Cricetulus griseus: one gene and its partners. The protein of the gene in region 1 purifies or fractionates together with the protein of each later gene. This does not show direct contact. Links are inferred from orthologs where the notes say so. Each region holds a gene or a part of one and is shown in the gene's direction. Other genes may lie near its edges.

The links.
Region 2: the proteins of Prpf4 (region 1) and Cd2bp2 purify together in Homo sapiens (affinity purification with mass spectrometry; 3 studies listed by BioGRID and IntAct, with this or other methods). This does not show direct contact. The link is inferred for Cricetulus griseus from reciprocal best matches to the Homo sapiens genes PRPF4 and CD2BP2.
Region 3: the proteins of Prpf4 (region 1) and Tut1 purify together in Homo sapiens (co-immunoprecipitation; 3 studies listed by BioGRID and IntAct, counting the BioPlex papers as one, with this or other methods). This does not show direct contact. The link is inferred for Cricetulus griseus from reciprocal best matches to the Homo sapiens genes PRPF4 and TUT1.

What each region holds. Positions count from the first base shown.
Region 1 is NC_048595.1:83,454,696-83,461,746, reverse strand, and holds part of Prpf4 (U4/U6 small nuclear ribonucleoprotein Prp4), read left to right. Parts: intron 1-1,981; coding exon 1,982-2,168; intron 2,169-4,416; coding exon 4,417-4,504; intron 4,505-5,041; coding exon 5,042-5,121; intron 5,122-5,266; coding exon 5,267-5,360; intron 5,361-6,031; coding exon 6,032-6,126; intron 6,127-7,051. UniProt on the Homo sapiens protein: Plays a role in pre-mRNA splicing as component of the U4/U6-U5 tri-snRNP complex that is involved in spliceosome assembly, and as component of the precatalytic spliceosome (spliceosome B complex).
Region 2 is NC_048596.1:73,576,312-73,583,957, forward strand, and holds Cd2bp2 (CD2 antigen cytoplasmic tail-binding protein 2), read left to right. Parts: upstream 1-3,324; 5' UTR 3,325-3,479; intron 3,480-3,932; exon of another isoform or gene 3,933-3,938; 5' UTR 3,939-3,961; coding exon 3,962-4,039; intron 4,040-4,234; coding exon 4,235-4,370; intron 4,371-4,486; coding exon 4,487-4,644; intron 4,645-4,746; coding exon 4,747-5,182; intron 5,183-5,260; coding exon 5,261-5,367; intron 5,368-5,445; coding exon 5,446-5,556; 3' UTR 5,557-7,324; downstream 7,325-7,646. Other genes in the region: Tbc1d10b (TBC1 domain family member 10B), read left to right, coding at 1-47, 134-757. UniProt on the Homo sapiens protein: Involved in pre-mRNA splicing as component of the U5 snRNP complex that is involved in spliceosome assembly.
Region 3 is NC_048596.1:51,139,257-51,147,101, reverse strand, and holds the start of Tut1 (speckle targeted PIP5K1A-regulated poly(A) polymerase), read left to right. Parts: upstream 1-3,523; 5' UTR 3,524-3,632; coding exon 3,633-3,714; intron 3,715-4,902; coding exon 4,903-5,093; intron 5,094-7,531; coding exon 7,532-7,845. Other genes in the region: metastasis-associated protein MTA2, read left to right, coding at 427-545, 639-787, 955-1,120. UniProt on the Homo sapiens protein: Poly(A) polymerase that creates the 3'-poly(A) tail of specific pre-mRNAs. Localizes to nuclear speckles together with PIP5K1A and mediates polyadenylation of a select set of mRNAs, such as HMOX1.

The sequences.
Region 1 (7,051 bases):
TGGCATTATCCAGAGCGTGTTTTTCTTATATTTCATACAGTTCCTGATACAAGTTACTGATGATCTTTGAAAACTTCAGTGGGTGTTTTGATTCATCAGTTGTATTTGTCTTTGGGAGATGTAGAGTAGTTCTGGCATTGATGCATGACTCAAGCTGTTTATAGTATTCTCTCCTTTACTTTTCTAGTTTGTTTCTTTGTGTCTTTACCTTTCAAGACAGGGTTTCTCTGTGTAGCCCTGGACTGCTCCTGAATGCTGGGATTAAAGGCGTGCACCACCATTGCCCAGCTTTCTAGTTATATTTTTTTTTCAAACCTAGATTAAAATAATGTTTTTTAGTATGAAGGGACAGTAATTTTAAAAGATTTTAAAAAATCAACATGTGTCTCTATGAGGTAGAAAATCTATATTGTGAATTGGATGTATTTCTTCTATAAATGGTACCATGATGTGTAAATTGTTTTATAGCCTACATTTTTTCCCTTGTATACTGTTGAGGTTTGTCTCTTTATATTACCGTCAAGAAATGTATTGATTAATTTTGGTTTTTGAGACAAGATCTCCACTATAGCTCAAGCTGGCCTAGAAGTTGTGGCAGTCTTTCTACTGTGCCCTCCTTGTACTGAATAACAGATGGGAGCCACCATGCCCAGCTTAAGAGTTTTATATTTTAAAAATAAAGTTATGCATATTTGTCATAAGCAATTAGATTAGCACAGAAAGGTAAAGTTTAGTGATGAGTACTTGCCTGGCATGATGGCACACACCTGTCATCCTAGCACTCATGTCCTGAAGGCAGGAAGGTCACAAGGACAGGGAGCATCCTAGGTTGCATAGCTTGAGCTGATCCTGTCTACACACCACTCAGGAGGTGGAGACAGGCTGTAATAAGGTGGAGTAGAGACAAGATCTGAGCCCTTTTGGACAGAGGAAGGGGACTGCTAGTTCTCTGATCTTCCAGCTTTTACCCCACTATCTGGCTCCTGGGTTTTATTGATTAAGATTAATTGGATTTACACTTCAGACATATTTATTAATAAAGAATTAAATCTTGCCTGAATATTTAATATTGCAAGACATGGAGCATTTTAAATGTTTTTCATGGTACATTCATTCATTCATTCATTCATTCATTTATTTATTTAAATCAGCAACTCAGATAGTGAGTTTTTTTTTGTTGTTGGCCCTTCCTTTCTTTCTGACAAGGTCTGTATGGCCCATGTTGTCCTGAAAGTCACTGTGTAGCCAAGTCTGACATTGATCTCCTGGTCTTCTTGCCTCCTCCCATGTGCAGATATTATAGGCATGCACTGCCACACTGAGCTCTTCACCATCCTTCTTTTCTGTTTTGGCCAAGCAACAATTTTAAATAATCAAACATTTTAATACAGTATAAGTGAGAGATAAAACTATTTGATACTTGATGCTGAGGAAATTAAATCTTTTTTTTCCCGTAGCTGAATCATGTCTCTATAAAAGCAAACTTTGTAAAAATGTGGAAATTTGGCCAGGCTCACACCTTTAATCCCAGCACTCAGGCGGATCTCTGTGAATTCGAAGCCAGTCTAGTCTACAAAGTGAGTTTCAGGACAGCCAAGGCTACACAGAGAAACCCTGTCTCAAAAAAGCCAAAAAAGGGATATTACAATTCATAACAGGCTTTTGAGGTAGTGTTCCTTAGTGTCGCATGGCATGACAGACTGTAAGTACATTGCAGAGTTGCACATGCTCAAAACCAAGGTTGCAGCAAAGATTCATGATGAGGCCCACAGGCCCTGCCAAAAGCAACCCTGATTTGTTTTGAATTTGATTTTGGATTAATTGTTGGTCACTGCATCTTCAGAAACCCTTCAATATTGCTGAATTCTTCAACAGCCCCACAGTTACATACCTTATGGCACTCTATCCAATATAAGAAGCTATATTCTAGGATACAGAGACTGATTGTTTCTTTCCCCCATGTTGCCTGTCCTTTGCATAGGGGAAGTATTTGAAATTGAGGAGCACATCAGTGAGCGGCAGGCAGAAGTCTTGGCAGAGTTTGAAAGAAGAAAGAGAGCCCGGCAAATCAATGTTTCCACGGATGACTCAGAGGTCAAGGCTTGCCTTCGAGCCTTGGGAGAACCTATCACACTTTTTGGAGAAGGCCCTGCTGAACGAAGAGAAAGGTATCCTTTATAGTTACACTTTTTTTGTTAATGACAAGGTTCTGGTATGTGTTCTATCAAACCCTTTCCTGCTCTCCTGTGAAGTTTGTTTGAAATGCTGGGGGTTTGTTGTTTTCTAAGATGTATTTTTGATTATGTAAATCCGTGTGCATCTGTGTGTAGTATTGTGCACATGAGTTCTGGTACCCTGGGAGTCCAGAAGAGGGTGTCATCCCCTGGAGCTAGAGTTAGAGGCACTTGTGAGCTGCCTGGTGTGGATTCTGGGAACTGAACTTGGGTCCTCTGGAAGAGCAGGAAGCATTCTTTAAAGGATACGTTTTAAAATCCTATTTATTTGTGTGTGTGTGGACATGTACATGCCTTCATACAGGAGTGGAGGTCACAGAACAACTTGTGAGAGTTGGTTCTCTCTCACTATGTGTCACAGTGTTCTGTCTCAAGTCAGCAGGCTTGGCAGTAGGCATTTTACCTGCTGATCCACCTCACCAGCCTGACTCGGTATATTTAATTTACTGTTTGTCTCTTTCATCTGCCATGTCTGTTGTCCTTTATCAAGATGAATGCCTTGAGTCCCAACTGCCACTACTTTAACTCAGGCCACCTCAGTGGCTTGGGCTTGCTGTGATCCTAAAGTCTGGTTTTCTGCCTTTATTCTTCTTCTCCTGCCTGTTGCCATGGCACTCTCACTCTCCCACCTGTTGCCATGACACTCTCACTCTCCCACCTGTTGCCATATCACTCTCATTGCAGACCCTCCTATGTGTAGTGTGAATTGCTCTGGTGACCCAGCCCCCACTTGAATACCAGTTTTGGCAGTCACCAAGCCTCCTCCTGTATCCCATATTCCAGCTCTACTGAACCATTTGTGGGTCTAAGCTCAGTCTGTTTTCCTGACTTTACATTTCTTTAACCCTCTGCCTCAACTGTCATTTTTCTGTTTTGACTCTTTGGCCTGAATGAGCACTTGACAACGCCTTTTCTGTAAAGCCTTCCCTGATACCTGCTCCACACTCCTCCCAAGCCTAGATTCCATACTTCTTCCATATTATTTCACATTCTGCTCACTGCTGTCTAATGCTGGTATAATGGACTGTGTTCTGTAGTCTCTTCAGAATTATTCTTTAGTTTTAGTTTTGTTATTGTTGTTTTCAGTCAGGGACTCACTATATAGCCTTGGCTGGCTGGAGCTCACCACCACACCTGGCTTTTAATTTTTATTTTATTGAAACAGGATCTCAACCTGTGGCACTGACTGGCCTGGAACTCACTTTGTAGACCAGGCTAGCCTAGAACTCAGGACAAGCCACCTACCTCTACCTCCAAATGCTGGGGTTAAAGGTGTGTGCCTTCAAGGCTAGTTCCTTCAGAATTATTTTTCCCCACCTGTTCTTCAAGACAAGATTGTTCTATCTAGCCCTAGCTGTCCTAGAACTCACTCTATAGACCACACTGGCCTGGAACTCAGAGATCCACCTGCCTCTGCCTCTCGAGTGCATCACCATGCACAGCTTGCAACTATTCTTAGTCATTAAATATACTTAGCCCCTGAATTAGTGCCTTGCTCAGCATGGCACTAAGTGGATTCCAGCTGTCCTTAGAGACTAAGTGACAGCTGTGTATAGATACCAGTTGACTCTAAATGGAAGAGAATAATTGCTGATAGCAGCATTTAGAAAGCCTTCAAATAAAGAGGAGTGGAGGGGGTCTGAGAGGGAAGAATAAAGGGTACACAGCCTTCCCCTTTGCTTGTGGTCTTGCTTTTTTCCTTGGTTTCTCTCATCCATAATCATATGAGGCCCCGAAATACTGACTAGGCAAATGCCAGAAGTAAACACTTGATGAATTTTAAATTGCACACCATTCTGAGTGATGTACTGAAATCCCACACCATCCAGCTGTGTCCCTTTGTCTTCTGTGTCCTTGCTGTCTATGCTGCCTTTCCATTAGTGTGCAGTAGAATAAGATATTTTGAGAGTGAGAAAGAAAACAGACCCTGTTCATATAATTTTAAAAATCTGGTTTTTTGTTACTAGCATTTTACCTTGCCTAATTTATGAATTAAACTTTATCATAATATGTGAGCTGGGAAAGACACACAGTATAGGTAAGGTTCATTGCTCCCTGCAGTTGTAGGCATTCTTGTGCAGGGATCTTGACACATCTCTCTCACAAGTGGTGATGGGGTCCTACTGAACCTTTTAACAGTCTTATTTCATCCATATTGATTTCTGACGTTTTTTTGTTACAGGTTAAGAAATATTCTCTCAGTGGTTGGAACTGATGCCTTAAAAAAGACAAAAAAAGATGATGAGAAATCTAAGAAGTCAAAAGAAGAGGTAAAATGTGAAGAAATTGGAGACTAGCTCTTTCCAGTGCCATGCTGTGCTAGGATGAGGAGAGGTATCTAGAGGTTCTGCCATTCTGGAATGGTTGATGGCAGGAATTGGTAATTCTTAAACAACTGTGAATGGTGCTGTAAATTCTCCATTCAAGAAGGCACTCAATGTGACTCAGTAAGAAACCAGAAACTAGTAAGACATCAAAGAAAAAAGTAGGGGCTGCAGAGATTGCTCTGCCCTTAAGAGTGTGCACTGCTCTTCAAGAGTCCAGCAGCCCACCACTGCTAAGCAATCTGATGCCATCTTCTGGCCTCCATGGCGTCTTCGTGCATATGTACATACCCCCACATAGACACATAACACATAGTTAAATAAATGTTTTTAAAGAAAACAAAAGGTAATTAATAGAAAGGACATGTGGCTGCTTCATTCTGTTACAATTCACTTTCTTTGTGAGCAATTACAATTAAGAACAGCCGTGGGGAGAGTCTGTGTGCTTCAGACCTAACATTTCTCCTGTTATTTCCTATTCAGTATCAGCAAACCTGGTACCATGAAGGGCCAAATAGCCTAAAGGTGGCCAGACTGTGGATTGCTAATTATTCACTCCCCAGGTAAGCAGAGGTCCAGAAGAAAGAAGTCTGTCGTTTCAGGGACTGGGGATAGACTCTATGATGGTGGTGTTTATTGTATGTGATTTAGAAGTAGTGTACAGACCCTTGTTGATAGCTCCTTAATGATGATGTTTATGGGTCACAGGGCAATGAAACGCTTGGAGGAGGCCCGTCTCCATAAGGAGATTCCTGAGACAACCAGAACCTCCCAGATGCAAGAGCTGCATAAATCTCTCCGGGTAAGATGCTCTTCACTGTTGTCCAGTCTCTTACGTTATTAGAGATTCTGTTTTGGCCCCACCCATAGGAAGGTAAAGGCAGTTACCCACATGCTACCTGGTAGGTCAGTGATGTAGGAGGAAGGCACTGTCAGCTGTGGTGACAAGAACATTCAGTGTTTGTGCTCACAGAGACAAATGTTTCTTTGGCTCTTGACTGCTCCCTTTTAGTAGGTCAAGCTGTGCTTTGCTTTTCTCTGGTTTTTTGTGTTTAGCTCACATAAAAGCTAATGAGGTACACTGACAGTGGTGGTGCACAACTTTAATCCCAGCACTCAGGAGGCAGAGGCAGGTGGATCTCTGTGAGATTGAGTCTAGCCTGGTTTACAGAGTGAGTTCCAGGACATCCAGGGCTACACAGAAACCCTAGGGCTTGTGGAGGTGATGAGGCTATGATAAACAAGTAACATTCCAGATAAGCCTTGATTCCATTCTTCAATAACATTAGTATCAACTAATATCAGCAAAGCATGAAGAAGTTTTGAGGTGAATTAAACTGACAGGTATAACTGCTGCCCCCTCCTTTTCACTCCCATCCCCTTCAGCCCCCATATTTTCCCAAAAGTGGAAAAGCCAAAAAATCTTAGATTAGCCTTTTAAATGATCACTTTTTTGTTGTTTTTGTTTTTTAGTCTTTGAATAATTTCTGCAGTCAGATTGGAGATGATCGGCCAATCTCCTATTGTCACTTTAGTCCCAATTCTAAAATGCTAGCCACAGCTTGTTGGTAAGTTTCATTTTACAATAACGTTTTCCTAAATTGTGCATGGGTTCAGAAAGAAAAATTGTCTTTGTCTCAGAGATCTTTCCCTCTATCCTCTTCTTCTGCTTCTCATGAGGCAGATGTCATGGCTCTACCTACTTGTACGCTTTGATGGAGCTGTTTGGCAGTTCTTACTACTCACAAAGGTCTCCAGAGATCCATGATATGTAGTGTCTATCATGTTCTTCCACTGGAGCTTTGGAATTTAATAAGCCCAGAATATATTTTCATGCCTTAGACCAGCTTTGCTTTCTTAGTTCTATGGTCTCGCTGAGGTAGGCCACCTACCTCTGTGCCTTTATCTGTATGGTTGGGACAGCAGCTAACATTTGCCGTGCATTTGGTAAGAACTTGGTAAATGTTATTAGTCTTATCTTTGTTTTGTACATATTAACACATATACGGGAAACTCTCAGGATATGTGTTCACTTTGGTTTTGGGGTGCTGGGGTGTGTGTAATTGTGTGTGGGTTTGTGTGTATGTGTTTATGTGGGCACGTGTGCATGTGCAGTTCAGTATGGAAATGCACATGGAGGCCAGAGGCCAATATTAGATGTCTACTTTCCCCAATTGCTCTCCACATTATTTTGAAACAGGGTCTCTTACTGAATTATCACTTCACCTAGACTGACTGGCCCGTGAGCCCCAGGGATCTGCCTGTCCCTGGGCTGGGGATATGGACATTATATACTGAACTTGTACATGAGTGCTGGGAACCTGGGTTCAAGTCCTCTTGTGTTCATAGCAAGCACTTTATTGAGCATGTGAGCCAATTCTTGAATCCTGTTTCATTTTATTTTTACTTTGTTCTGGATCATGGCTATCTAAGAAAGAGGAAACTTAACATTGACTACAGGGGAATTGCTTCAGTAGGCAGAAAGTGAAGCTT
Region 2 (7,646 bases), on another chromosome or scaffold:
GAAACCTACCACAACAGTGTATGCAGGAGGACTTCCTGGTGCATGAGGTAGGCCTTGAGCCTCAGCACACCTTGATCCACTTCAGCCCATGCTCAAATCCATCTATACTCTGGCTCCCGTGTCTTCTGTCTAGGTAACCAACCTCCCAGTGACAGAAGCATTGATTGAGAGGGAGAATGCAACCCAGCTAAAGAAGTGGCGGGAAACTAGGGGAGAGCTGCAGTATCGGCCCTCACGGCGACTACATGGCTCCCGAGCTATCCATGAGGAGCGCAGGCGGCAGCAGCCACCCCTGGGCCCGTCCTCCAGCCTTCTCAGCCTCCCTAGTCTTAAGAGCAGAGGCCCTCGGGCAGCTGGAAGCGCTCCTTCCCCACCACCTCCTGTTCGCAGGGCTAGTGCTGGCCCTGTTGTCCCTGGAGCTGTAGTCACTGCTGAGGGACTGCATCCATCCCTTCCTTCACCTACTGGCAACAGCACCCCACTAGGCACCAGCAAGGAGACCCGGAGACAGGAGAAAGAGCGGCAGAAACAGGAGAAAGAGCGAGAGAAGGAGCGGCAGAGACAGGAGAAGGAACGGCAAAAATGGGAAAAAGAGCAAGAGAAGGAGCAGCAGAAGCAGGAGAAGGAGCGACAGAAGCAGGAGAAAAAGGGCCAAGGCCGGAAACTTTCCTTGCGTCGAAAGGCAGATGGGCCTCCAGCACCCCATGATGGCGAGGACAGGTCAGCTGCTGAAGCCCGGCAAGATGCTTACTTCTGACCTCTTGCTGGGTCTAGATGACATGGCCCTCTTCCTTTTCCCTCAGTCAGGAGCAGGCCTGGCAGGGGTATTCTTCCCAGCTCCCTTGGCAGGCTTCCCTTTTCTGAGGAAAGTGGCTTGATTCCCCTGACTCCTTGCCAGCTGCTGATCCCTACATGGCCAGGACAGCCACAGTGCATGGGACAGCTGTATTTCCTAGGGTAGCAGTGACCAAGTCTGGAGACTCTTTTGTCCAATTAGGCCCAGCTTGGGTCTCTGTCACTCCTACGAATTCCTTCTGGGGTGCTGTCTTAATTTGCCTTTTGTCACAGGGTGACTCTTGGCAATGGCAGTTAGCAGTTACAGATTCTTACACTCCAGTGGGCTTCCCTTAGATGGTGGAGCTAGGTTCCTTTTCTTGTCTTGGGGCCCTGCCTGTCACCCCACTGTCTTTCTGGGGGCCAAGGCTGTTTTTTTCTCTCCTGGATATCCTTGTGTTGTAATTATGTACAGAAGGTCAGGTTGGCCTGGGTGGGGTGCTCTGTTCTGTGTTTCACAGTGCTCCTGTACTCCAGTTTATTTAAGGGGACATGCAAGGAAATGCCCTCCATTTCCTTCCCATCTATGTCCTGCTCTCCCTCCTAACACACTTGCTTTGTATGCTCAGGCCTCTCTGCTGCCTCATCAGGAAGCCTGTCTTTCATTTTGTTCCTTTCCAGCCATCAAGCCCCTCTCTGAGTAAGGGTCTTCCCTTGAGTCCGGGGGGTGGAACCCAATGTTTACATTCTCTTCTGTCATGGTCCCATCCCAGTGGTGGTTTTTTGGCGCTTTGAGGAACCAGAAAAAGAACCTGCTGTTATATCTGGATCTGTCTCCTGCCTTGTTATTTAAAGAGGGCTTTGGGGTAAGGGAGTGGGAAGGGGGCAGGAAGAAAGTCTTAAGTCCCAATAGGTGCAGTCTGCTGATCTTGGCAGGTATATCCAGACCCTTGCTACATCTCTCATCAACAAGCATAGTGGTCCAGCTCCTGCTGCAGCTTTGCTTGGGGCCTCCTGGGACCCTCTGCACAGCTCAGAGTACTGAGAACATTCCAACTTGCTTGTGTACTCCTAGAAGCTAAAGGGAGGCTAAGCAGGGCTGTAAAGCCAGTCTTCAGATTGAGCTACTTGGTCAGCAGCTTGGTGCAGTTCCTGGTACTGGGCTTCTAGGGTGGACTGGCTGCCTTCAGTTCATCTCAGCAGGTGCACACAATCAATCATCCAGTTCTTGTTTTCTATGGCTAGCTTGTAGCCCCCCAGCCCTCCCCCTTGCTTTCTCCCCAGGGATCAGGATAGTAAAGGCATGGGGTTTGTGGTCCTAAGGTGGAGCTCCTCATGGCAGTTCAGCAGGATGAGGCTCAGGGGTGTGTGGTCTCCAGGTAGAAGAGGAAGTTCCCTCTGGGATGCACCATAGTGCCCAGAGCTGGTGTTTCAGGCATTCTGTAGCAAGATGCCCTCCTGGGCTAGGACCTGTGTTCTGTGCCCGTGGAAGAAACTGAGGACACAATTCCAAGTTTCATGGTGATTCAGAATGGAGAAAATCCTGCAAGAGAAAGGTGTGGTCCATCTGGCCGCCCTCATCCAGCTCTTGCAGGATCACCTGAGCTATCTAGCCTGGGGGGGAGGTGTTCTGGCTTTGAGTTGTTCTCAAGAGCTCCAGATCTAGACTTCACTAGACAGGAAGATCTCACCTGGCTCCACCTCTGCAGGAGCGGGATTCCATCACCTTAGCATTTTGCTGAGGGGTGGGGTAGACTTCACCTTGCAACTGGATGTACCCCAGAGTAGGGCATTATGGGCTTCTGGCTGGGTACTGCTCGGATGCCAATGCTACTTCCTGTTATAGTTCCCCTGCAGAAAGAAGGAATTGAATGGGAACAGACATGGGGCTGGGTCCTAAAAGGAGCTAGATTTGGAAAGTGCCTAAGTATTGACAGCCAGAAACAGGACTCAGGAAAAGCAAGAATTTTTTTTTTTTTTTTTAAAGAGACATCTCACGTTGTATCCCCGATTGGCCTCAATCTCGCGACAATCAGTCCTGCTTATTTCCCGAGCGCTGGGACTGTGTCAAGCTTGGAAAGCAGGGTTTCTATTGAATTCCGTTGGGCGCAAAGAGCCCTATATAGAGAGTCAGACTGGAGCCCACAGCTTCTGCTCGGCCTTTGTCCCTCCATCCAGGACTTGGGAACCTCTTTTTTTTTTTGGTTTTTGAGGCAAGGTTTCTCTTTGTGACTTTGGAGGCTGTCCTGGAACTAGCTCTGTAGACCAGGCTGGTTTCGAACTCACAGAGATCTGCCTGCCTCTGTCTCCCGAGTGCTGGGATTAAAGGCGTGCGCCACCACCGCCCGGCCTTCAGCACCTCTTTAAGCAGACAGAGCGTCACGTCCTCACCTGAGTCTCCATTTCAGAGGAATAACAAACACTTGCCGCCATCCTCAAGCTAAGTAAGGCTGGGGCTGGTATAGGAGTTCACGCGAGTCTTTTGGGGTCTTACGTCACTTCCTGCGGAGACTGTCTTGACCAAATGTACACATCCGCCCGTTCCGACAGTCTTTTGGATGGGAGTGAAGCAGCTTCCGGCCTTATGGAGGTCTCCACAGTCTCCTTCCGGGTTATGGAGGCGAGTGCCCCGGATGTAATACTGGCGAAAGCATCTTTCCTTTCTTTCCCCGCCTGACCCCGGGCTCCTCGGTGAGCGCCAGCCGGTAAGACTGTTCGAATCCCTGCGAATTTGCTTCCTCTCTAATTTGTGCGCCGACTCTGACATGGTCTAGCAGCTCGCTGCGTGGAACTGGGGGTCCTAAGCAACCAGGGCGCCAGCTCTTGGGTCCGACCGGCCTCTGTGGGCACTCGGGTGGGAGCTGGGGGAGCCCTGTAGCTCCGCACTGGTAGGGGAGTGGTGACGTAGGGGAGCCTGGCTTTTTTTCCTGCGTGGGAGTACGCACAGGGTCCGCGCGGGGGCGGAGATCCGCCCGTCAGGGCCTCTGAATGAATTGCCAAACCAATTCCCGACGACCCGCCTGCTAGCGCTTGAGATGGTTCAGTGACCCTTCCTCGCTCAAACGGGACCTGGCGCTTACCAAGGAAAATGTGGTGCCACAGCGCTCTCGCGGCCGGCTCTCCTTACCTAATTTTCTTACTCCGTATCCTTTTCCGAGGTCCAGCTGGAGGAAGTGTTCTGCCAGTCATGCCAAAGAGGAAAGTGACTTTTCAAGGTGTGGGAGATGAGGATGATGAAGATGAAATCAGTGTCCCCAAAAAGAAGGTGAGATGGTCAGACTCCTAATGTCTGTGGAGGACTGAGGAGAAATAAAAGGAAGGAAAGCTGAGAAGCGAAAGAAAGGGTTAGTTTGCCCCGGTGCGCTGGGTTTGGTAGGTTTTCAGTTTGGATACAGATCCTGGAATATTTGGGAAGCTCGCCAGTAGGTTGCCTTTCTCATTTGCTGGTTTCTACTCACAGCTGGTGGACCCTGTGGCTGGAGCAGGGGGTCCTGGGAGCCGCTTCAAAGGCAAACACTCTTTAGACAGTGATGAGGAGGATGATGATGATGAAGGGTCCAGCAAGTATGATATCCTGGCCTCAGAGGATGTAGAAGGTGAGTTATTCCCAAAACATTAGCTGTGTTGGAGGGCAAGTCTGATTATGGAGGTGGGAAGTGTGCCTGTCTCTTTTTTGCATGCCTAGCATGGGGCCCCCATGTCTTTGGTGCAGGTCAGGAAGCAGCTACTCTCCCTAGTGAGGGGGGTGTGAGGATCACACCCTTCAACCTGCAGGAAGAGATGGAGGAAGGCCACTTTGATGCTGATGGCAACTACTTCCTGAACCAGGATGCACAGATCCGAGACAGCTGGCTGGACAACATTGACTGGGTGTGGCCCAGGAGCTGTCCTGGCTGAGGCCTGGGAATGCAGGTGCTGGGCCTGGGCCCTGGTGGAAGTTTGTAGGAAATAATAATTATCTTTCCCTTATAGGTGAAGATCAAGGAGCGGCCACCTGATAAGCACCAGGTTTCAGACTCAGAGGAGGAAGACAGCCTGGGTCAGACTCCGATGAGTGCCCAAGCCCTCCTGGAGGGACTTTTGGAGCTGCTGTTGCCAAGAGAGACAGTGGCTGGGGCACTTAGGCGTTTGGGGGCCCGAGGAGGAGGCAAAGGGGACAGCAAGGGGACTGGACGGCCCAATTCCCCACAGCGCCTAGACCGGCTCTCTGGGTTGGCTGATCAAATGGTGGCTCGAGGCAACCTTGGTGTATACCAGGAAACAAGGGAACGATTGGCTATGTGTCTGAAGGGTTTGGGGTGTCGGACTCAGGGATCCCATGACCCCACACCTCCACCCTCCCTGGACATGTTTGCTGACGAAGTGACAGAGGGAGAACTGGAAACCCCGACCCCTGCGCATAAAGGAGGTAAGCTTTTAGGACACAGGAGAGGCAATGCCAGTGGGAGACTGGGCACTTAAGGCCGATACGTCTTTGTTGTCTTAGAAGCAGAGTCAGCGGGAGATGGTCTAATGGATGTGATGTGGGAATATAAGTGGGAGAACACGGGGGATGCTGAGCTGTATGGACCATTCACCAGTGCCCAGATGCAGGTCAGTGGCTTCCTCCTGTCTTGTCTGTCCATCCCGACTTCTGTCATCTTTCCTAAGTTTTGTCCTCTCTTCTTACAGACCTGGGTGACTGAAGGCTACTTCCCGGATGGTGTTTATTGCCGGAAGCTGGACCCTCCAGGTGGTCAGTTCTACAATTCCAAGCGCATTGATTTTGATCTCTACACGTGAACCTGCTAAGGGCCCAGTGTGGTAGCCCCTTTTTCTTGGACTTGGCAGAGGAGGCCCCAGCTGCCCTGGGCAGTGAGGATCTTGGAAGCTACTCTTCAGCCACTTTCCCTTTCCCAATAAAAGCCTTGAGTGTGCATCAGGGCCTTGATGTGCTGGTAGCCAGAAGCCAGGGCTCCTCCGTAGCTCCTGTTGGCTTACCTGGCCCTTGAGTGTCTCCTCCTTCCTTAGATGCTTCTCTCTGGTGTCTTGGACCACCTCGGTTTGTTTTCCGCCCTTGGTGGCAGTAGTAGGGCCCGTCAGGTGTCCTGTGACTTGCCATGTCAAATTCCCTTCAATCACTCTATTCTCCTATCTCCCCTGCAAGTCCTTGTTTTGCTGATCTTCAGCTTTTAGGACCTCAGATTCTCTGGCCTAGTAACCCCTTTGCAGCTGGGACATTTGGAAAAGTTTGAGATCCTATTGAGAACACTCAGGAGGCCTCTTAAACATGGGTTCTCCTCTTCTCCCTAGTCTGATTTTTCCTTCCCTTGCAGTAGCTCCCATAGCTCTTAGGTGAAGCATGAACTTAGTAGCTCTTCAAAGCTACTTGGGCCACCATGCATTATACAGGCACAGAGATGGGCAGTGACTTCCTGGAGGTCACACAGTAAATTAGAGAGCTGGCCCAGAACCAGTGAGCTGCTTCCCCTGACCTTTCTTGGCATAAAGCCTTTTCTTCCTTGGCCATTCAGGCCCTGCAGCTTAACATTTCCCAGGCTCCCACATCTCTGGCATAGGGATGGTGCCTTGAGGGAACATTGCTGGACTGGTCTTCCAGGAGCCCCAAGTGCAGTGGCAGACAGACACGTAAAAGCAGTGCCTCACTCGTACCAGTGCTGCCCTGCGCCCATGCCACCTGCACATGACGGGTACCCTGTGCCAGGCTAGGAACTTACATAGGGGCCCTGGCTTGGTTGGGGGTGTTTGATCAGACACCTTCAACCCAGTTTATTGCCAGCCGAGACCACAGTTTCTTTGACTTTGAGAAGCCTTTTAGTGGTAAGACATTTACTTAATGTTAGTTGTAAGGTGGTATTGGATGGACTTGCTTTCAGAAATACTTAGAAGTGAAAAGTTGGTGTCTAGAGATGAGTGAAATCCAGTCATGTCCGTAGCCTGGGTGAGTGTTCACAATGTTTGGTGAGACAGACACGGAGGACTTCCCCGAGGTGTTCTTTGGGTTCCTCAGATTTGACCCATCTAGAGCTGATCCCCCCCCCCACACACACTTTCTGAGTGTACCTTACTGAGGACATCCAGGAGGGGGCAGAATATCAGTCCCTGAACCCCAGACCCTATGAATATTACTTTATGCTTTATGTGGCACAGGAAAGCACATTGCGCAGATGTCGTGAAGTTGAGATTTTTTTTTTCTTTTTTTAATTTTTTGAGATGGGGTCTCACTGTGATCCCTGACTGGCCTCAAACTTCCAGGAGGTTGGGATTAAAGGTGTAAGCCACAAAGCTGAGCAAAATTGAGAATTTTTGAAACTGGGAGATTACCTTTGATTGTTGGGTTGAGACCATTGTAATCACTGGGTTATGCTGGAAAAGGAACTGAGACTCCCAGCACGAGAGCACAGGACTCCATCTGAAAGATGGAAGAGAGGAGTGTGTGTCAGGGCTGCATGTAGCCAGACAAGTGCAGTGCAACAGTGATAACCCAGTGAAATCAACTTTGGACTTGTAACCTCTAGACTTATGAGCTAATAAATCTGTGTTAAGCCACTTCAGTTTGGTCATTTGATAAAGGAAATGAGTATACACCTACTCTGGGGAACAACTACCACTTTGGAGCCCCTTTAGACCTTCTCCAGAGTTCTTTGTAGTTCTCCCATCCAGGCACTAACCAGGCCCAGCCCTGCTTAGGTTGGATACAGCATTCAGGGTGGTATGACCATGGAATGTATACCCTTTTTTAAAAATACAGTTTCTCTGTGTATCCCTGGCTGGCCTGGAACTTACTGTGTAAAAAACCAGGCTGACCTCAAATCTAGAGATCTGCCTGCTTCTGCTTGGAGTTCTGGGATTAAAGGTGTGCACCACCACAA
Region 3 (7,845 bases), on another chromosome or scaffold:
GTTTGGGTGGTGTCAGGCTGCTAGCCGTTTTACTATCCAAGAGCCATTTCTTCCCCTGAGTTTTCCTTTCCCCCTGAGTCCAAACTGTGTGTGTGTGTGTGTATGTATTCTTTTTTTTCCTTTTTGGTGGTGGTGTTTTCGATCAAAACCCAGAACTCATATTCTGGGCAAGTGTTTTACTATTGAGGCCCATTTTTGGCATAGCAGTGACTTTTCATAAGTATTTTATGATCTGGAAACATAATCAAATGTTGTTTTTGAAATATGTGTTAAGTAGCTTGTAGGCCTTTTCCTCCATTACTACTGGTCTGATGACCAAGGGAAATTGCTGGGCCAGGGTAAAGAGGGAAGAAAGAATGGTAAGGAAAACTGTACAGGCAAGAGAAGGTGTGAACGTTTTCTATTCCTCCCCCCCTTCACTGTTAGTGGCCCAGGCACCTCTGAAACCAAAAACACCTCGGGGCACCAAGACACCAATCAACAGGAACCAGCTGACCCAGAACCGAGGCCTGGGGGGCATTATGGTGAAACGTTCTTATGAAACTGTGAGTTGGGAAAGCTGAATGGGGTGGGCTTTTGTTTCTGATAGGAGTCTGAGGGAGGCAGCGCTTTCATTATGTTGCCCTATCCTTTTCCAGATGGCAGGGGCAGGGGTCCCCTTCTCTGCCAATGGAAGGCCTCTGGCCTCAGGGATTCGTTCAAGCTCACAGCCAGCAGCCAAGCGTCAGAAACTAAACCCTGCTGATGCTCCCAATCCTGTGGTATTTGTGGCTACAAAAGATACCAGGTAGGGAGCAGTCTACTATGGGAGGGGCTCAGAGACTGATAATCCAAGTTGGGTGCATTGGAAGTAGGGGTATCTGAGAAAGATAGCACAGAAAAGAGTGCGGGTGTCAAAATTGTAGAGTGTACTGTGGAGCCCCTACTTGTTCCTCTTTTGCTCTTTTTGACCAGGGCTTTAAGGAAGGCTCTAACTCACCTGGAAATGCGCCGAGCTGCCCGAAGGCCCAACCTACCCTTGAAGGTGAAGCCAACACTGATGGCAGTTCGGCCCCCAGTTCCTCTGCCAGCACCCTCACATCCTGCCAGCACCAATGAGCCCATTGTTCTGGAGGATTGAGCATCTTAGGGGAGGGAGATGGGATGAGAGGTAGAGGGGTAGGTGCCCAAGGCATACAAACCTCAAGGATCGAGGGAGGGTTGAAACTGGTGTGTCCTTGGAGGACTTGGACACCCTCTGGGGTGATTGCCAGTAACTCCCCCTTTTTGGGCTTCTCCATGCCTGTGATGGGAGCCTACAGGAACTTGCCTGTGTGTCTACCTACCCTATTTGGGGGTTGGGACCCACAGTTGTTTTGGACAGCTGGGCTGGGGGGGGGGAGGGTTTTTTAAATTTTTTAAAAATTTTACCTCCCTTTGTAAAAGGGATGGAGGAGGGGAAGAGTAAACATGTCAGGTGGTGGTACCTGGCAGGGGGAAGGGAGAGTGCACTGCCATGTCTACCTTTTTTTTTTTCTCTTTATTTTCTAATTGGGGGTTTCTCTTACTGTCCGGTGTCCGGACTTTGCTAATTAGTTTGAGGGCTCTAAGGTGGCATCCAACCCCAGCCCATGCTCGCTCTTTCTTCCCTCCCCTTCCCCCCTCTGCCTTTTATATGCCAATTCTCAGAAATAAAGATCTTTTTGTCCGTTTTTTAACCTCGATTCTGTAATTGGTTCTTATAGTGAAGAATAAAAAGCTGTTTTCTTCAGCCCTCAGGCTCAGCTGTTCTCTGCTGCTGCTGCTGCTGCTGCGCGCGTGCGGTGTGTGGTGTGTGGTGTGTGCGGTGTGTGGTGTGTGCGGTGTGTGGTGTGTGCGGTGTGTGGTGTGTGCGGTGTGTGGTGTGTGTGGTGTGTGGTGTGTGTGTTGGGGGTGTCTTTGAGAGGGAAAATAGAGGACAAAAGACAATGAAAGAGGTACAGATGGCGCTTGTTCTAGGAGCAGCGTTATGAGACATGCAGCCGGGCTGTGGGGTGGTTTGTGCCACTATCCTTGTGGGACTCGGGCTTCTCCCACTGGGGCTGGAGTCCAAGCAGCATCTTGGTCTAGATTCATTCAGAGCTCTTTAATGGCTTTGACTCTGCACAGATGGGGGTTAGAATGTCTTCCTGTTAGCCACTTTTACTCTCCCTCCTTTTTGGTGCTGAGAAATTGATCCCAGGGTCTGGCGTATGCTACTCACGTGCTCTACTATTGCCACCACCTACATCCTCAGCCCTTCACTTTCATTTAAGCATTCTAGCAGCCAGGGTCAGATGCATCTCACCAGGTGGGGGTGGTTGACACATACCTTTAATCTCAGCACTTGGGAGTCAGAGGCAGGCAGATCTCTTAAATTCAAGGCCAATTTGATCTACAGTAGAAGGAGTTCCAGGAGAGCCAGGGCTACACAAAGAAGCCCTGTCTTGAAAACAAAGATGCATTTCACTTTAGTGTTTGTGGGTGTGGTACTGCAGTACTTTACAGTTCAAGCTTAGTGGTATATATATACAGACTGCTGGATTTGTACAGCTAGTGTTAGCACCTACCCCCACTGTTGAGTGTGCAGTAGTACTGTTTTCTGTTTTGATTTCATCTGCTTTTTTGGTTTGGTGTAAGGATCAGATACCTGAGCAGGGTACAATAGGAGGGACACCTTAGAACAGTTGGTTAGTTCAACCAATTCTCCTTAGGCACTTTAGAGATAGAAGGGCCTCATGGCTCAGCCAAGGCCACAGACTGGTTTCCTGATAATCACAGAACAAGCTGGTGAACCCACCTGATAGCCTTTCCATTTCATTATCGTCACTGTGGTCAGCTCTCATATCCTCTCTTGTTCCTGAACCTACGAGACTGACTCATGTGCCTGACTGGGGATCTGTAGCACTTCCCCTCCCACCTCCTTGAATAAATGTGTATCTCTTAGCACTGTAGTCTGTTCTTCATTGTACTGCCTTGAAATAGGCCTCGTTAATATACTTCATTAAGGCTACAACTGCTGAGCAGACTTTGACTGGGATAGTAGCCATCTGCTGTTGGTCTCATTGAGTCCAAGTGAAAGGGAGTAGGGGGCGGACAGCGCTGAAAACTGTTTTGTCGAGGATCCAGTTGTACAGAAAGGAACTGACCTGAGGATGTGGGAGTACCTGAGCTCCACAAGGCAAAGGATTGGAAACACCCACCCTCCGCTTCTACTCGCAGGGTGAAATAAAAGATTGAGGTGCAGGTCTGGGGTGAAGTGAAGGCAGATCGCATGCCACCACTTGGCAAAGAAAGAGCTGTGCTGTCAAGAAGCAAGCCCATCTTTGTGGCTGCTTAATGAATATTCACAATTCTTCGGGCCAATCAACGCTGGAATGGAACGGAGCATGCCAACTAGTTAACCCTAGACCAATAAGCGTCGTCGGTGGGCGGCCTTTCTTAAAACTGACTTAATAGGAACCCTTAACCCTAAGAACACGGTTTCTGGACGAATATGCTGGCGCCGGACACAAGCGTCACTTCCTGCAGCACTGGCGGAAGTGGCTTCCCCACACATTGCGATTTTGAGCTGTGAGTTCTGGTAGTGACTGGTGGCGGGAGAGGTTGTAGGCGGCCCATACCGGAGAATCGCTATGGAGGCGGAGGATTCGGATGTCGTATCGCTGCCTCGTGGTCGCTTTCGCTGCTGTCTCTGCGACATTACTACAGCCAACCGTAAGCGGTGGCTAGTGAGGGAAGGGGGAGGTTGCAGGCTTTCACTTTTTAGGTGCTAGTGAAAGAGTTATTTAGGTTATAGTTTTTGCTGGCACTAGGGTCATCCACCTCTGTTTTCACTCAGTACGTCCCAGGGCATTCGGAGAGTGGGGAAATTCTCACCGGTTCTTCTCACAATGCAAAAGCTCCATAGTGAAACTTTCACTATTCCTTTTAAAACATCACCTTTGTGATGTTTTAAACATCACATGTTTTAAAACATCAGCTCTGTGCCTGGTGCTTTACTGGTCTCTGGAATCAGGAAGGGAGGGATTCAGGAATTCACTGTCTGCACTGAGACAGTTTCAGTACACCATGGGTATGTTTACAGAGCTGAAGCATCACAGAGAAGGCAGTAGTTCAATTGGAGACTCCCAATGGGGAGGATTTCTCCAGAGGCGAGGATGAGTGAAACATGGTGGCCTGAGTGAATGCAGAAGGTGCCAGTGAGGAAAAGGGTTTGGAAAGACAGACTGAGATTTTGTGACACCAAAAGACACTTAGTGACATCTCAGATCCTACTTTTGATGTCTAGAATGTGATCTCCCCTAAACAGGGTCTTCTGGTATTTTCTTTGTGAATGACATTTCCCCTTCTCCCCTCCCCCTGCCCCATCAGGGCAAGCCAGGAATTTAGGACAGTGCCTTGTCCCTGTACTTTCATGGCACTAAGCAGCTGATGATAAAATAATACTAATAGCTAATTTCCCACACTTACTACATACCAGATGGCCAGAGCTGTTTGTGAATGATACCTATGTGGTAGGCGAGATCATTTCCATCATATATGGGAAAAGGATACATTTGGAATACCTGCTATTTATCTCTGAGGATTAGTCAGGGCCCTAATTTATTTACTTCTACATATGACCTTGGACAAGTTGCTTGTTAATTCCTCTACAGTGGGCAGATGTCGCTCTGCTTAACACATACCATTGGCTTAAGAACTACCTGCACTGCAGCCCTCCCTCTTGGAAATCTCTTAGAGAATGCACTGTGTGGACAAAGGGGAAGAATATCAAACTCTGTCCAAATGTTACCCTTTGTCTTTGAAGGAACAGGGTTTCTATGTATAGAGAAGAGAGCAAGGGGACAGGTATACAAAGAGTTACTTTATATGCTTATGTCACACGCACACTTGTCTCTACAGGACCCAGCCTAGATGCCCACTTGAAAGGCCGGAAACACCGGGATCTTGTACAACTACGAGCTACCAGAAGGGCCCAGGGACTTCGAAGTGTGTTTGTCAGTGGCTTTCCCAGGGATGTGGGTGCTGCTCAGCTTTCGGAGTATTTCCAGACTTTTGGCCCTGTGGCCAATGTTGTCATGGACAAGGACAAGGTAGAGTGAGTGTCTTTGGGATTAATTTGTCAGATGGATTTGCCTTATATAAAAGAGAGAAACCAGCAGCCTGTTTTGGCAGTTTCCTAATGTGGCTCATCCTTGGTAGACATTTCAGAACTTGGAATAGCTTAGTTTTGGGAGCTTCTGCCACCTTGGATTTAATCCATTCACAAGAGTTAATTATGGAGGACTTGTTTACCAAACATTGTGTCTTTTTTGTTTGTTTTTTTCGAGACAGGGTTTCTCTGTATTGCTTTGGAACCTGTCCTAGAACTCGCTCTGTAGACCAGGCTGACCTGGGATTCACAGAGATACACCTGCCTCTGCCTCTTGAGTGCTGGAGTTAAAGGCTTGGCCAAGGCTCGTGGGGGCTGGAGAGATGGCTCAGCGGTTAAGAGCACTGACTGCTCTTCCAGAGGTCCTGAGTTAAATTCCCAGCAACCACATGGTGGCTCACAACCACCTTGAATGAGATCTGGTACCCCCTGTTGGCATGCGGGCAGAAGACTGTATACTAAATAAAAAAAAAAAATAGTAAAAAAAAAAAGGCTTGGCCAAGGCTCTTGACCTATTGCCTGCTAACTGCCATCCCTCCCCCCCCCCTTTTTTTTTTTTCCTTCAGTTCTAGGGGATTGCACATGGGACTTTTGAATGCTAGGAAAGTGGCCTCTGTCTATCTCCAAACCATCCTCATAGCCTTTATCAATCACTTCTTGTGTACTGGTGAGACAACTGCAATTGTGTGTATATGATATGACATAAAAGTCCACATTGTTTTGCTTATGACTGTCCAGTTGTCCTAGCATCATTTATCTATAAGCCCGCTCTTTCCTCACTATTATGTTGAAAAGTAGTTGACTATATGTACACAGTGTTCTGCCTGCGTGTATGTCTGCATGCCAAAAGAGGGCACCAGATCTCATTGTGAGCTACCATGTGGTTGCTGGGAATTGAATTCAGGACCTCTGTAAGAGCAGCCAGTGCTCTTAACCTCTCGGCCATCTCTCCAGCCTGGCACTATTTTCTTAATTACTTTATAGACTGCCTTTTTATAGGAACAGATGATATAAAAGGACATGCACTTTTACCCATAAGCACTCATGTTTGCCTTGCTCCTGCTAATGTTTTACCTTAAAAAAAAAATTATCTCACTGGCAGTTGTGGCACAGGCCTTTAATCCCAGCACTCGGGAGGCAGAGGCAGGCCTGGTCTGCAAAGCTACACAGAAAAACCCTGTCTCAAAAAAAAAAAAAAATTTAATTCAGCTCTGTTCAGCTCATCCAAATCATAATAGCCTTAGCTGTCATATTGTTGCTAATTCTAGATGGTAAGTTCCTTGAAGACAGGCTTTATTAGAGTTTATTAGCAGTAGCAGAGTTTTTACAAAATTTGTTATAGTTTGGTGCTAAGGCTTTTATCTAAGGCTTCCTACACAGTAGACAACTTCTGTACCAGTGAGCTGCATTCTGAGCCAACATGGATTCTAAAAAAAAAAAAAAAAAAAAAAAAAAAAAAAAAAAAAAAAAAAAAAAATATATATATATATATATATATATATATGGTTTTTCGAGACAGGGTTTCTCTGTGTAGCTTCGGAGCCTATCCTGGCACTCGCTCTGGAGATCAGGCTGGCCTTGAACTCAGATATCCGCCTGCCTCTGCCTCCCAAGTGCTGGGATTAAAGGCATGCGCCACCAATGCCCGGCAAAATTTTTATGTGTGCACAAAATTTTTTATTTTATGCATGGCCCATGGTGCACATGTGGGAATCAGAGGACAGTGTGTAGGAGTCTGTCCTGTGCTCAGGGGACTGAACTCATGTGGTCAGGTTTGGTGGCAAGCACCTTACCCCAGCATGGATCTTTTTTTTTCTTAAGGTTTTCTGTATGGTTATGTATATATGTTGAGTACAGGTGCCTGCTGAGGCCAGCAGAGGGCACTGGATTGTATGAATCTGCAGCTGGTTGGTTTCAGACTGTCTGATGTCGGTGTTGGGAACTGAATTCCAGGTCCTCTGCAAGAGCAGCAGTGCTCTTAACCACTGATCCATCTCTCCAGAATTCCACATATGGACCCCCCCTGCCATGGATTCTTATTGTTAAAAGAGCTAGAGCTGGGCAGTGGTGGCTGCCCCGGAATTTGCTCTGAAGACCAGGCTGGCCTCGAACTTACAGATATCCGCCTGCCTCTGCCTCCCAAGTGCTGGGATTAAAGGTGTACACCACCAATGCCTGGCAACAGATGAGATTTTAACTGGCAGCCAGGAATAAAAATGTATGGGATAAGAGTGGAGATTACTCATCTAAGTATATTACAAAAACCTTTTACAAAAACAGCAAGTAATACTTCCAGTATATTGGTTGTTTCCCATTTTAAAGATTCTCCTCTACTGTCAATTACCAAACCATGATCCTTGCTCTTGTATGTTTTGCCAGGGGGTGTTTGCCATCGTGGAGATGGGAGATATAACTGCTCGGGAGGCTGTCTTAGCACAGCCCAAGCACAGGCTGGGGGAACATGGGCTGCGTGTCCGGCCGAGGGAGCAGAAGGAGTTCCAGAGCCCAGCCTCCAAGTCTCCCAAAGGAGTGGACTCAAATAGTCACCAGCTGGCCCAAGCACTGGCCGAAGCCACAGACGTAGAGGCACAGATGGTAAAGCTTGTAGAACTGAGGGAGCTGTCTGAGGCTGAGCGGCAGCTTCGGAATCTTGTTGTGGCCCTGATGCAGGAGGTCTTCACAGAGTTCTTCCC